Linked DNA regions of Ovis aries. Each later gene encodes a partner of the first gene's protein in a complex. Links are inferred from orthologs where the notes say so. Each region holds a gene or a part of one and is shown in the gene's direction. Other genes may lie near its edges.

What was found.
Region 2: SMARCA5 (region 1) and DEK share a complex: the UniProt entries of both Homo sapiens proteins name them as parts of the B-WICH complex. The link is inferred for Ovis aries from reciprocal best matches to the Homo sapiens genes SMARCA5 and DEK.
Region 3: SMARCA5 (region 1) and RSF1 share a complex: the UniProt entries of both Homo sapiens proteins name them as parts of the RSF-5 ISWI chromatin-remodeling complex. The link is inferred for Ovis aries from reciprocal best matches to the Homo sapiens genes SMARCA5 and RSF1.

What each region holds. Positions count from the first base shown.
Region 1 is NC_056070.1:14,432,474-14,436,127, reverse strand, and holds part of SMARCA5 (SWI/SNF-related matrix-associated actin-dependent regulator of chromatin subfamily A member 5), read left to right. Parts: coding exon 1-52; intron 53-239; coding exon 240-359; intron 360-1,159; coding exon 1,160-1,270; intron 1,271-1,601; coding exon 1,602-1,715; intron 1,716-1,895; coding exon 1,896-2,018; intron 2,019-2,768; coding exon 2,769-2,901; intron 2,902-3,654. UniProt on the Homo sapiens protein: ATPase that possesses intrinsic ATP-dependent nucleosome-remodeling activity.
Region 2 is NC_056073.1:38,630,296-38,633,949, forward strand, and holds part of DEK (protein DEK), read left to right. Parts: intron 1-345; coding exon 346-466; intron 467-3,654. UniProt on the Homo sapiens protein: Involved in chromatin organization.
Region 3 is NC_056074.1:15,888,817-15,892,470, forward strand, and holds part of RSF1 (remodeling and spacing factor 1), read left to right. Parts: intron 1-2,706; coding exon 2,707-3,654. UniProt on the Homo sapiens protein: Regulatory subunit of the ATP-dependent RSF-1 and RSF-5 ISWI chromatin-remodeling complexes, which form ordered nucleosome arrays on chromatin and facilitate access to DNA during DNA-templated processes such as DNA replication, transcription, and repair.

The sequences.
Region 1 (3,654 bases):
TGAGATTACTGATGAGGATATTGATGGTATTTTGGAAAGAGGTGCAAAGAAGGTGAGATGCAGATTAAATGATTATTTCTAGTATATAAAATACTTTAAACCAGAACTGAGGAAATAGCTAAGTTACACTTTTACTTCCAAAGAAGTTATGTACCATAAAGTCCAGTTCATTTTGACTATAGTTCTTGTGCCTTTATAGAATTCTCAAATCTAAAAAGATGTTTCTTTTGTTTCCTTAGACTGCAGAGATGAATGAAAAGCTCTCCAAGATGGGTGAAAGCTCACTTAGAAATTTTACAATGGATACAGAGTCGAGCGTTTATAACTTTGAAGGAGAAGATTACAGAGAAAAACAGAAGGTAATTTAGAAAAGAGATTTTGGTTATTTTAAGACTTACTATTTTACTTGAAAATTGGAATTTAAGTCTTAGGTGTGATGCCTTATCTCAAACAGCAGTCATTTCTGTTTACTCACGTCTGAATTATTTTCATTTTTGTGTTAAATTTAATGCCAAATTTTCAGTTGGTAAATGCTGAAATGTTTTAAAAATTTATGTATACTGTTAACAGTAAAGTATATTGTGTGGGGTGATTATAGTAATTAGGGATATTTGGAAATTAAAACTATTGCCAAAAGTAAAATTTGTCACAACATTATTAGATTTTTTTTTTCCCCTAAGCAGAATTGGCTATTAATAATTAAAGGGATGAACTTGCTAATTTCTAGATTGCTATTTCCTTCCTAATTAGTATTATATAGTGAAATTAGAAAATACCTGCAGGGCAGAAGGAAAATAATTCTACCTAATGATTTCCATTTTAACATTTAGACATTTATATCCTCTGAATTTTTTCTAGTCTAAATATTTATCTACATTTCTCTCCTAATTTTAGTTCTAGCATACCATCTGTAGCATTTCTTTTTTCACCCAATTATCATTAATTTGGTCAGGAAATAGTTACTGAATGTTTTATGCTATTCACTAGACATCCTCTTGTGTGTTAATTGCATTAGTCCCTAGCCTCATATAGTCTAGGGTGTTATGAATATCTGCATTTATAAATAAGTCATATTGATGTAACAGTAGGAGTCGCATTCATGTAAGATTTGTGGCTCTATAATAAAAGTTGGTGATTTGAACTGTTTCCCATGGGCTAGATTGCATTCACAGAGTGGATTGAGCCTCCTAAACGAGAAAGAAAAGCCAACTATGCTGTCGATGCCTATTTCAGGGAAGCTCTTCGCGTCAGTGAACCAAAAGCACCCAAGGTGAGTTGATAGAGCACAAATATCTAAAAATACTGGAAATGCAAATTATTTTTCTTCTTATATTCTTGCAGTAAAATCAGATTGAGAATTAAATTTTGTGTGGTTTCTTCCAGTATACCTCCTTCAGCTTTTGTTGAAAGTTTCTAAAAGTTAATTTTAAATGTAAGCATTTAAAATTTGCTTGATGTTTGTTAAATTTTATGGAAGATGCATTCAGTTGCTTGGAGAATTGACTGTCATGGTTTTATCGAGTGCAAAAAGATTTCAGATAGATTTAAAGCAAAATAGGTTTGTTTTTGTTTGTTTTTACAAACAGTGCTTTTTTTTTTAGGCTCCTCGACCTCCAAAACAACCCAATGTTCAGGATTTCCAGTTCTTTCCTCCACGTCTATTTGAATTATTGGAAAAAGAAATTCTGTATTACAGAAAAACAATTGGTTATAAGGTAACAGAAGTAAAACTTTGTAACTAATCTCATTTGTTTTAACTTACTAAATGCATGATATCATATATTTTCTTGGATTAAAACTTGTAAAATTTCATGTGGTTGGTTAAGAGTTTAGTTCATCACATATTTCCTGAAATATATTGACTGATGACATAGAAAAAATATGTATATTTTTAGGTCCCTCGAAATCCTGACCTACCAAATGCAGCACAGGCACAGAAGGAAGAACAGCTTAAAATTGATGAAGCTGAACCCCTTAATGATGAAGAGTTAGAGGAAAAAGAGAAGCTTCTGACGCAGGTACAGCTTTCAATCAAAACCAGGTTTAGTAATGGTTATTTTGTAAGGTACCCCGTTAGGTTCTGTGGGGATAAACAAAAGAAGTAAAGGTTTTGCTTTCAGAAGTGGAATGATTGGAGATGATGAAGCATGGGCATATGGGTGTACGCTGTGTTGTGATTGTCATTAGTTGTGGAGGTAGAAGAGAAGAGGATAGATTTGCACCAAGTCTATTGTTGTAGAGTCAGTATCTTTGATCACCTTTCTTCCAGTGCTCCCACCTTCCCTTTCCTGTGGATCTTCTCATTTTTACTATGTCGTCATTCTCAATTACAAGTATCTGCTTGGTACTTTTTTAAAACATCCTTTAGGATTCAGTCAAGGCCTTTGAGAATCTAGCTTTAACCTACCTTTAAAGCTTTATTATTACTTTGTTTTGCCGCTTGGTTTAGATGTTTGCTCTTTACGTTCATTCTGCCTCTCTATGTCCATTCCTCCTGACAATTTCTCCTTGAAAGCGCAGTGAAAATGTCACTTTGTTGTGCAGCGTTTTTCACTCTCCCACTCAGACTTAGTTGCTTGGCTGTCTGAGTAATGTATATGATGTATTGCCAGAGTGCACATCTATGTATATGAATAGTTACCACTTTAAGATAACTTAGAACTCAGAGCAACTGAAATTTTTCTATAATACTTAGCAAGATTGGTAAAGTTTTAATAGCTTTTCCCCCAAGCTCAGTGATTGTATGCTTTGTTTCCTTTGCTTTGAAGGGATTTACCAATTGGAATAAGAGAGATTTTAACCAGTTTATCAAAGCTAATGAGAAGTGGGGTCGTGATGATATTGAAAATATAGCAAGAGAAGTAGAGGGAAAAACTCCAGAAGAAGTCATTGAATACTCAGGTACTTCTATTATGTTAGTAGGTGTAAGAATGTTCTCAGGCTTCTGGAGGGCTGTTGGAAAGTTGAGATTTTCTTACTCTGAATGATGTATTTGTTTTCTTAATTAAAAAAAAATTTTTGGCCATACATGTGGCACGTGGGCTTCCCTGGTGGCTCAGATGGTAAAGAATCTGCCTGCAGTGCGGAAGACCTAGGTTCGATCCCTGGGTTGGGAAGATCTCCTGGAGGAGGGCATGGCAGCTCACTCTAGTATTCTTGCCTGGAGAATCACCATGGGCAGAGGAGCCTGCGGGCTACAGTCCACGGGTCACACAGAGGCAGACACAACGGAGAGACTAAGCACAGCACACACGTGGCATATGGAGTCTTAGCTCCCTGGCCAGGGATTGAACCCACACCTCCTGGGCCGGAAGCATAGAGTCTTACCCTCTCACCAGGAAAGTCCGTGAACGATGTTTTGATAAACTAAAATTTGCCACAACTTAGTATCTGTTTTGTTTTTTAAAAATTCAGTTGGAAAAGCTCCCCTTCTTTAAAATGGCATCATTAATTTTTCTTTTTTTACCCTTGTTAACTAACTGTAACCAAGAAAACAAGAATAGGTCACTGAATAATTGTGCTTTCTTTTTACTTCATTTCACTTGATAACTTTTACAAATACTATATAATTCTGTGTTTCTTGAAGTCTGTTGGGTTGACAAGTGGATATGTGTAGTTGTGCTCTGGTGATTGCTGAAAATTTCAAAAGAGCAG
Region 2 (3,654 bases), on another chromosome or scaffold:
GGAAATGTAGTATTTAATCACCAGCCACAAGAATTAACAAGTTTGTGAATTTTAAGTAATGAAAAATTTTACATAATTTTCTAGTGAATGAAGTAAGTTTTTTCTTACACCACAATTAAAACTTAAATGGTAAATGATGTTTTCTGTTTACAGTAGTACCTGGCTATATTTTGTGCATGCCCCAGTCAGGATTATTGGGAGTGCTTCTAAGATTCACAGAAACACTGGCTGCTTGCTTAATGTTTGTGGCTGAGCCAGTTGGGTTAGCTCTTATCTTTATATTGTGGAGAATGTTTATAAATTTTCCTATGTAATCACATTGGCTTTTTCCGTTTTCTGTTTCAGATTTAGAAATGCCATGTTAAAGAGCATCTGCGAGGTTCTTGACTTGGAGAGATCGGGTGTAAATAGTGAACTGGTGAAAAGGATCTTGAATTTTTTAATGCATCCAAAGCCTTCTGGCAAAGTGAGGATCAATTCTTACTATTTCAGTAACAAATCAATTCTTTTTAGCTTCTCCTTTCTCTCTTTTTTTTTTAATGAACATTTTAATAGTTAGCAACATTGCTATCAATATTCAGTAATATCTTCTACATTCAAAGAATTTGCCTTTGGTTGACATACACGCAACAATTTTGATAGAGAAAACAGAGAAGGCATACAGATGTGTTCTCCCTTATCAAGCATAAAGGATGTAAGATTAAGAAAGATAGATAATTGTTACCTAAATGTCAAATGGGACAGAAATACAAAGAATCCACAGTTACGTATCTAGAAGACACTTGAACAGAAATAGGGCTGAGGAGGAACTGTTGGGCTGGTGAGGGAGGGTGTACAGCCTGTAATCAGATCCAGAAAGACAAGGTAGTGTGCTCGAGCCAGAGATTTACTAGATACTGGAATAAGGTGATGAAAAGGGGGTGAAAAAAGCTGGCTTTTTGAAGTTTCTTAGGTTGGGTTTCCAGAAACATCAAGAGAGCCCAGGAGCTGGACAGGGGAGTGAAATGGTCTTATGGTTTTTGCCATTATTCTAAAATCTGGATTCAGTTCAGTAACTCAGTCCGACTCTTTGCGACCCCATGAACTGCAGCCCGCCAGGCCTCCCTGTCCATCACCAACTCCCGGAGTTTACCCAAACTCATGTCCATTAGTCGGTGATGCCACCCAACCATCTCATCCTCTGTTGTCCCCTTCTCCCGCCTTCAGCCTTTCCCACCATCAGAGTCTTTTCCAGTGAGTCAGCTCTTCGCATCAGGTGGCCAAAGTATTAGTTTCAGCTTCAAATCTGGATTAGATTTGCCCAAATTGTTTAACAGTAGCAAAGGACATCACTGAATTGAAGTGTTATTTATCTGAACTTGCCTTTTCAGCTTAAGTCTTGTAGCAGTTATTTTCATATATTCTCATAGTAATGGGAAAGAATTGAGAAGAGATCTAGAAGGCCTAAGAGCTCAGAGTCCATTAGTGAGGAGAGAAGGGCGTTAAGATTAGAAAACTGGGAAATAACTCTGGGACTTTTATTTTTGCCTGCTCTTGGTCCTGTTGCTATTAGCTGGACAGTGATCCCTAAGGATATTTTTGTCATGTAGCTACAAATTGAAGAGGTGATGGGGATGGAATTCTCACTGGTTTATCTAAAAGATGAGTTTGAACACTGTTTCCCCAGAAGCAGTTACTAAGCTGCCTGAATTATGAGGAATGTGTTTAATTCAGTTTTCCCTCAGTGGTTTTCAAATGTATTTAGCTTCAAGACCCTATCACTCTCTTAAAGTTAGTGAGGACCTCTAGAGCTTTTGTTTTATGTGAGTTATTTTGATATTGGGTAATGGTGACTTAGTCCCTAAATCGTGTCTGACTCTTTGTGACCCCATAGATGATAGCCCACCAGGCTCCTCTGTCCATGGGATTTCCCAGGCAAGAATGCTGGAATGGGTTGCCATTTCCTTCTCCAGGGGATCTTCCTACCCCAGGGACTGAACTCAGGTCTCCTTAGTTGCAGACAGATTCTTAGAGACTGAGCCACCAGGGAAGCCCATTTTGATATACACTGTATTCTAAATTAAAACTGAAAAATTCTAAAATAGCAACAGGCCCACTGCATGTTAACAAAAGTAATATTTTGTCTGAAAAAGAGCTGTAGTTTCCAAAATTTTAATGAGAAGAATGACATTCTGTTTTTGCAGATCTGTTTGTGTCTTGACTTAGGACAGATCTATTCTCATTTGCTTCTGCATTTCCTTCTGTTGCAATAATGTATTGTTTTGCTTGAAGTATAAGAAAAAATAATCCAACTTCACACAGCTATGTAGTTAGAAAAAGGGGGGATATTTTAAAAAGCCTTTCCAGTAATTTTGGATAGTCTCCTTTGATACAGCAGTAAACCTCCATAGTTGGGGGGGCAGAGTCTTAAAGGTTAGCTGTAATGTAGTATCTAAAATCATGCTGATAAACTTGGATCTTTTACCTGTGTGTGGTTTTCTGATAGGTACCCTCCATTTGGAAAATAGTGATTCCCTGAATTACGCATATCTTCCAAATGTTAGCACATTTCACTGTCAAAAAACGACATTCATTAACATAACTATTATCAGGGGGGAAAGAATCTTCAAGTACTGGGAGGCTGTCAGGCCCATGATAGTGGAGGTGAACTTTCCAAAATTTAATTTTCACTTGAAACTTTGAAATTTATCATTGGAAACAAGTGCTGTCGGTTTGGGGTGTTTTGGGTTTTTTTTTGAGGTGACAGACTCACATTCATTTTTCAGAATATGTCTTTCAAATACGAAGTTTGAATAAGCATCATTTTTCAATTATCCTTTTAAAAATAATGTTCCAGAGAAAAACGTAGCTAACTTTGCAACCCCGTGAACTCTAGCAGCCCACCAGGCTCCTCTGTCCATGGTATTTCCCAGGCATTTTCACTGCTCAGTTGCACAAATGCTTTTCATCAAGAAAATCCGTGAACTTCCTCCTGGAGCCAGAGTACTGTATGTGAACCTCCCATTTTGTTGTACGGATGTTTTGAAGATGTGCTCAGAGGTTAGGTTGAGAGTCAACATCAAGGACTAGTGTGTGGTTGGTTATGAGGTGGTGAGGAGTGAAATGACTACAAACCCAAGTTTCTGCCTCAGGCTCCATGAGGTATCAGTAGGTTTGCCTACCTTTGTTGCTTAAGCAATCACTACAAATGTCAGGGCAGTGAAAAGAGCAAATAAATACTCTCTTGGTATTACTGTGAAAATAGTTCTGACCTTTAGGGCTTTGGGGAAGGTCTCAGGAAACTCTGGGGTCCATGAGCCATACTTTGAGAACCATTGTTTTATCTTTTTTTTAACGATGTCTTATTCTAATATCCATTTTTCATATCTGATTCTGTGTTGATTACTCCTTAATCTAATGGTATCGATCTCAGGCTATTTTCTATGCTACCATCTGCTTCCATCATTTAAGGAAAACACTATAAAGTCATAAGTATTCATCTTTTCTGCTCTAGAATAGTCTTAGAGGTGCTTGAAAGGGTTGATTTAACATTGTTTTACTCTCCTTTTGTACTTCTATCTTGTTTGTTAGGTTTTGTTCCTCAAAGGGATGGATGCTCTTGACACTGGTTTCCGATGAATATATTCAACTATTTTTAGAACCTCTAAGGCACTT
Region 3 (3,654 bases), on another chromosome or scaffold:
GGCCTCCTGCCCAACACCAACTCCCAGAGTTCACTCAGACTCACGTCCATTGAGTTGGTGATGCTATCCAGCCATCTCATCCTCTGTCGTCCCCTTCTCCTCCTGCCCCCAATCCCTCCCAGCATCAGAGTCTTTTCCAATGAGTCAACTCTTCGCATGAGGTGGCCAAAGTACTGGAGTTTCAGCTTTAGCATCATTCCTTCCAAAGAAATCCCAGGGCTGATCTCCTTCAGAATGGACTGGTTGGATCTCCTTACAGTCCAAGGGACTCTCAAGAGTCTTCTCCAACACCACAGTTCAAAAGCATCAATTCTTCGGCACTCAGCTTTCTTCACAGTCCAACTCTTACATCCATACATGACTACTCGAAAGACCATAGCCTTGACTAGATGGACCTCTGTTGGCAACGTAATATCTCTGGTTTTGAATATACTATCTAGATTGGTCATAACTTTCCTTCCAAGGAGTAAGCATCTTTTAATTTCATGGCTGCAATCACCGTCTGCAGTAAGTCTGACACTGTTTCCACTGTTTCCCCATCTATTGCCATGAAGTGATGGGACCAGATGCCATGATCTTCGTTTTCTGAATGTTGAGCTTTAAGCCAACTTTTTCACTCTCCTCTTTCACTTTCATCAAGAAGGTTTTTAGTTCCTCTTCACTTTCTGCCATAAGGGTGGTGTCATCTGCATATCTGAGGTTATTGATATTTCTCCCGGCAATCTTGATTCCAGCTTGTGCTTCTTCCAGCCCAGTGTTTCTCATGATGTGCTCTGCATAGAAATTAAATAAGCAGGTTGACAATATACAGCCTTGACATACTCCTTTTCCTATTTGGAACCAGTCTGTTGTTCCATGTCCAGTTCTAACTGTTGCTTCCTGACCTGCATATAGGTTTCTCAAGAGGCAGGTCAAGTGGTTTGGTATTCCCATCTCTTTCAGAATTTTCCACAGTTGCTTGCTATTCACATAGTCAAAAGCTTTGGCATAGTCAGTAAAGCAGAAATAGATGTTCTGGAACTCTCTTGCTTTTTTGATGATCCATCTGATGTTGGCAATTTGATCTCTGGTTCCTCTGCCTTTTCTAAAACCAGCTTGAACATCTGGAATTTCACAGTTCACATATTGCTGAAGCCTGGCTTGGAGAATTTTGAGCATTACCTTACTAGTGTGTGAGATGAGTGCAATTGTGCAGAAGTTTGAGCATTCTTTGGCATTGCCTTTCTTTGGGATTGGAATGAAAAGTGGCCTTTTCCAGTCCTGTGGCCACTGCTGAGTATTCCAAATTTGCTGGCATATTGAATGCAGCACTTTCACAGCATCATCTTTCAGGATTTGAAATAGCTCAACTGGAATTCCATCACCTCCACTAACTTTGTTCGTAGTGATGCTTTCTAAGGCCCACTTGACTTCACATTCCAGGATGTCTGGCTCTAGGTGAGTGATCACACCATCGTGATAATCTGGGTTTTGAAGCTCTTTTTTGTACAGTTCTTGTGTGTATTCTTGCCACTTCTTAATATCTTCTGCTTCTGTTAGGTCCATAACAGAATCATTTAGGTCCATAAGAAGGACCATTTTTGTCATTTATCAAGCCCATCTTTGCATGAAATGTTCTCTTGGTATCTCTAATTTTCTTGAAGAGCTCTCTAGTCTTTCCCATTCTGTTGTTTTCCTCTAATTCTTTGCATTGATCACTGAGGAAGGCTTTCTTATCTGTCCTTGCTATTCTTATAGGTAAAATTAGTACTTAATGAATTCTGAAAACATGGCTCAGATTCCCTTAGCACAATTTTAAAACATATATGCCTTGTCTGTAATCTCATTCAAAGATTATGGTATATACTAAATATGACTTTCGTTATACTTAAATTTGCACTGTTAGGTACTCTGTAAAAGTTGTAAATATTAGCCAGTAAGGTAAAAAGAGGAGTTAACAGGTAAACATAGTTTCTTTGTAATATATTACATTCTAAAATGTTTATTGATGGCATTTGATAAAGTAAATTGTAATATAATCACAGTAAGGAGTGTTACACAGTTAAGACCAATTCTCTGAAGACATTTCATGAATGTCATAAGAAAATGCTAATGTTTCAGTGAGGACAATGGGGCAGCATGATTCCAACTTTGTCAAAAACACATAAAACTAGAAGAAGTAACCTCAAATAAAATACTAATTGTAGGTATTCAGATTGTGGGCATATTTTCCTTTTTCTGCACAGAATTGTTACTTTTGTAACCTGATTAAAACATAAAACATTTCCACACTGCCTTTTTCATGTTTTCTCAATGAAATGAAGTGCTCCATAACTTGCAGAGAACAGTTGTCAGTTTTTAAAACAAATATGGTCTTTTGGAAATGTTTTATTATGATGTATTCTTAGTTTCGTAGTTTTGAGCCATCACTTGAGCTTGAATAAATTATTTGAGCTGTATAAATATTTGCATTTCATTGAGAGCATTGAAGTTAAAAGTATAAAGCAGAAATCTTTCTAAATGACAGTTTTTTAATGTCTAAACATTGTACTTCCGAGCTTTGTATTTTCTTTACTGTCTGCTTTCATCTTTTATTGTCAAATGTCCCGTGACAATAGCCACCTCTTCTAAGAGAGAAACTTCAAATGGAAATATTTTTTATGTTATGCCTTATACATTTCATAATCTTGAATGCTTAGATTCATGTAAACTTTTTCTTATTTTTAGAGGAACAGAAAGGAAGTGCAAAAACTAAAAGTGAAGAGCGGCCAATAGATTCAGAAAAATGTTCTACACCCAGTCCTCTAGAAGGGACTACTGTGAAAATAGAAAAAGAAAGTGAAAAGGAACTTGGAAAACTGCCAGTCATAGTGAAGCTGGAAAAATCTGTGCCAGAAAGCGAAGAAAAAAAGATTATCAAAGAAGAAAGTGATTCCTTCAAGGAAAATGTCAAACCTGTAAAAGTGGAAATGAAAGAATGTAAAGCAGATCCTAGAGATATCAAAGGTAGTGTGGAGAAATTAGAGCCTGAGAGGCTAGACTTTGTTGGCAATGTTAAATCTTCTCAAGAAATTACTGAAAAGTCTACTGAAGAAACCGAGAAACTTAAAAATGACCAGCAGGCCAAGATTCCACTAAAAAAACGAGAAATTAAACTGAGTGATGATTTTGATAGTCCAATCAAAGGACCTTTGTGTAAATCAGTTACTCCAACAAAAGAGTTTCTGAAAGATGAAATAAAGCAAGAGGAAGAGACTTGTAAAAGGATCTCTACAATCACTGCTTTGGGTCATGAAGGGAAACAGCTGGTAAATGGAGAAGTTAGTGATGAAAAGGTAACTCCACATTTTAAAACAGAACAGATGGAGACAAAGTTTTATGATACAAAGGAAGATAGTTGCAGCCCCTCTAAGGATAGAAGTGTCATCATGGAGGGAAATGGAGCAGAGTCTGTTAATTCTGTCATTGCAAGTGTAAAAATAGGTGATCTTGAGAAAGAAGTGGTCCCTTTAGGGAAAGATACAGATAATTCAGTATCAGTCTTAGAGACCCAGAGTCAGAAAGAGCACATAGAGGAAACTGGTCCTTCAGAAATGGAAACCTCTCTTGAGACTGCAGAAATAGCAAAGGATCTCTCTTTAAAAACTGCTTTATCTACCACTGAATCCTATAGTA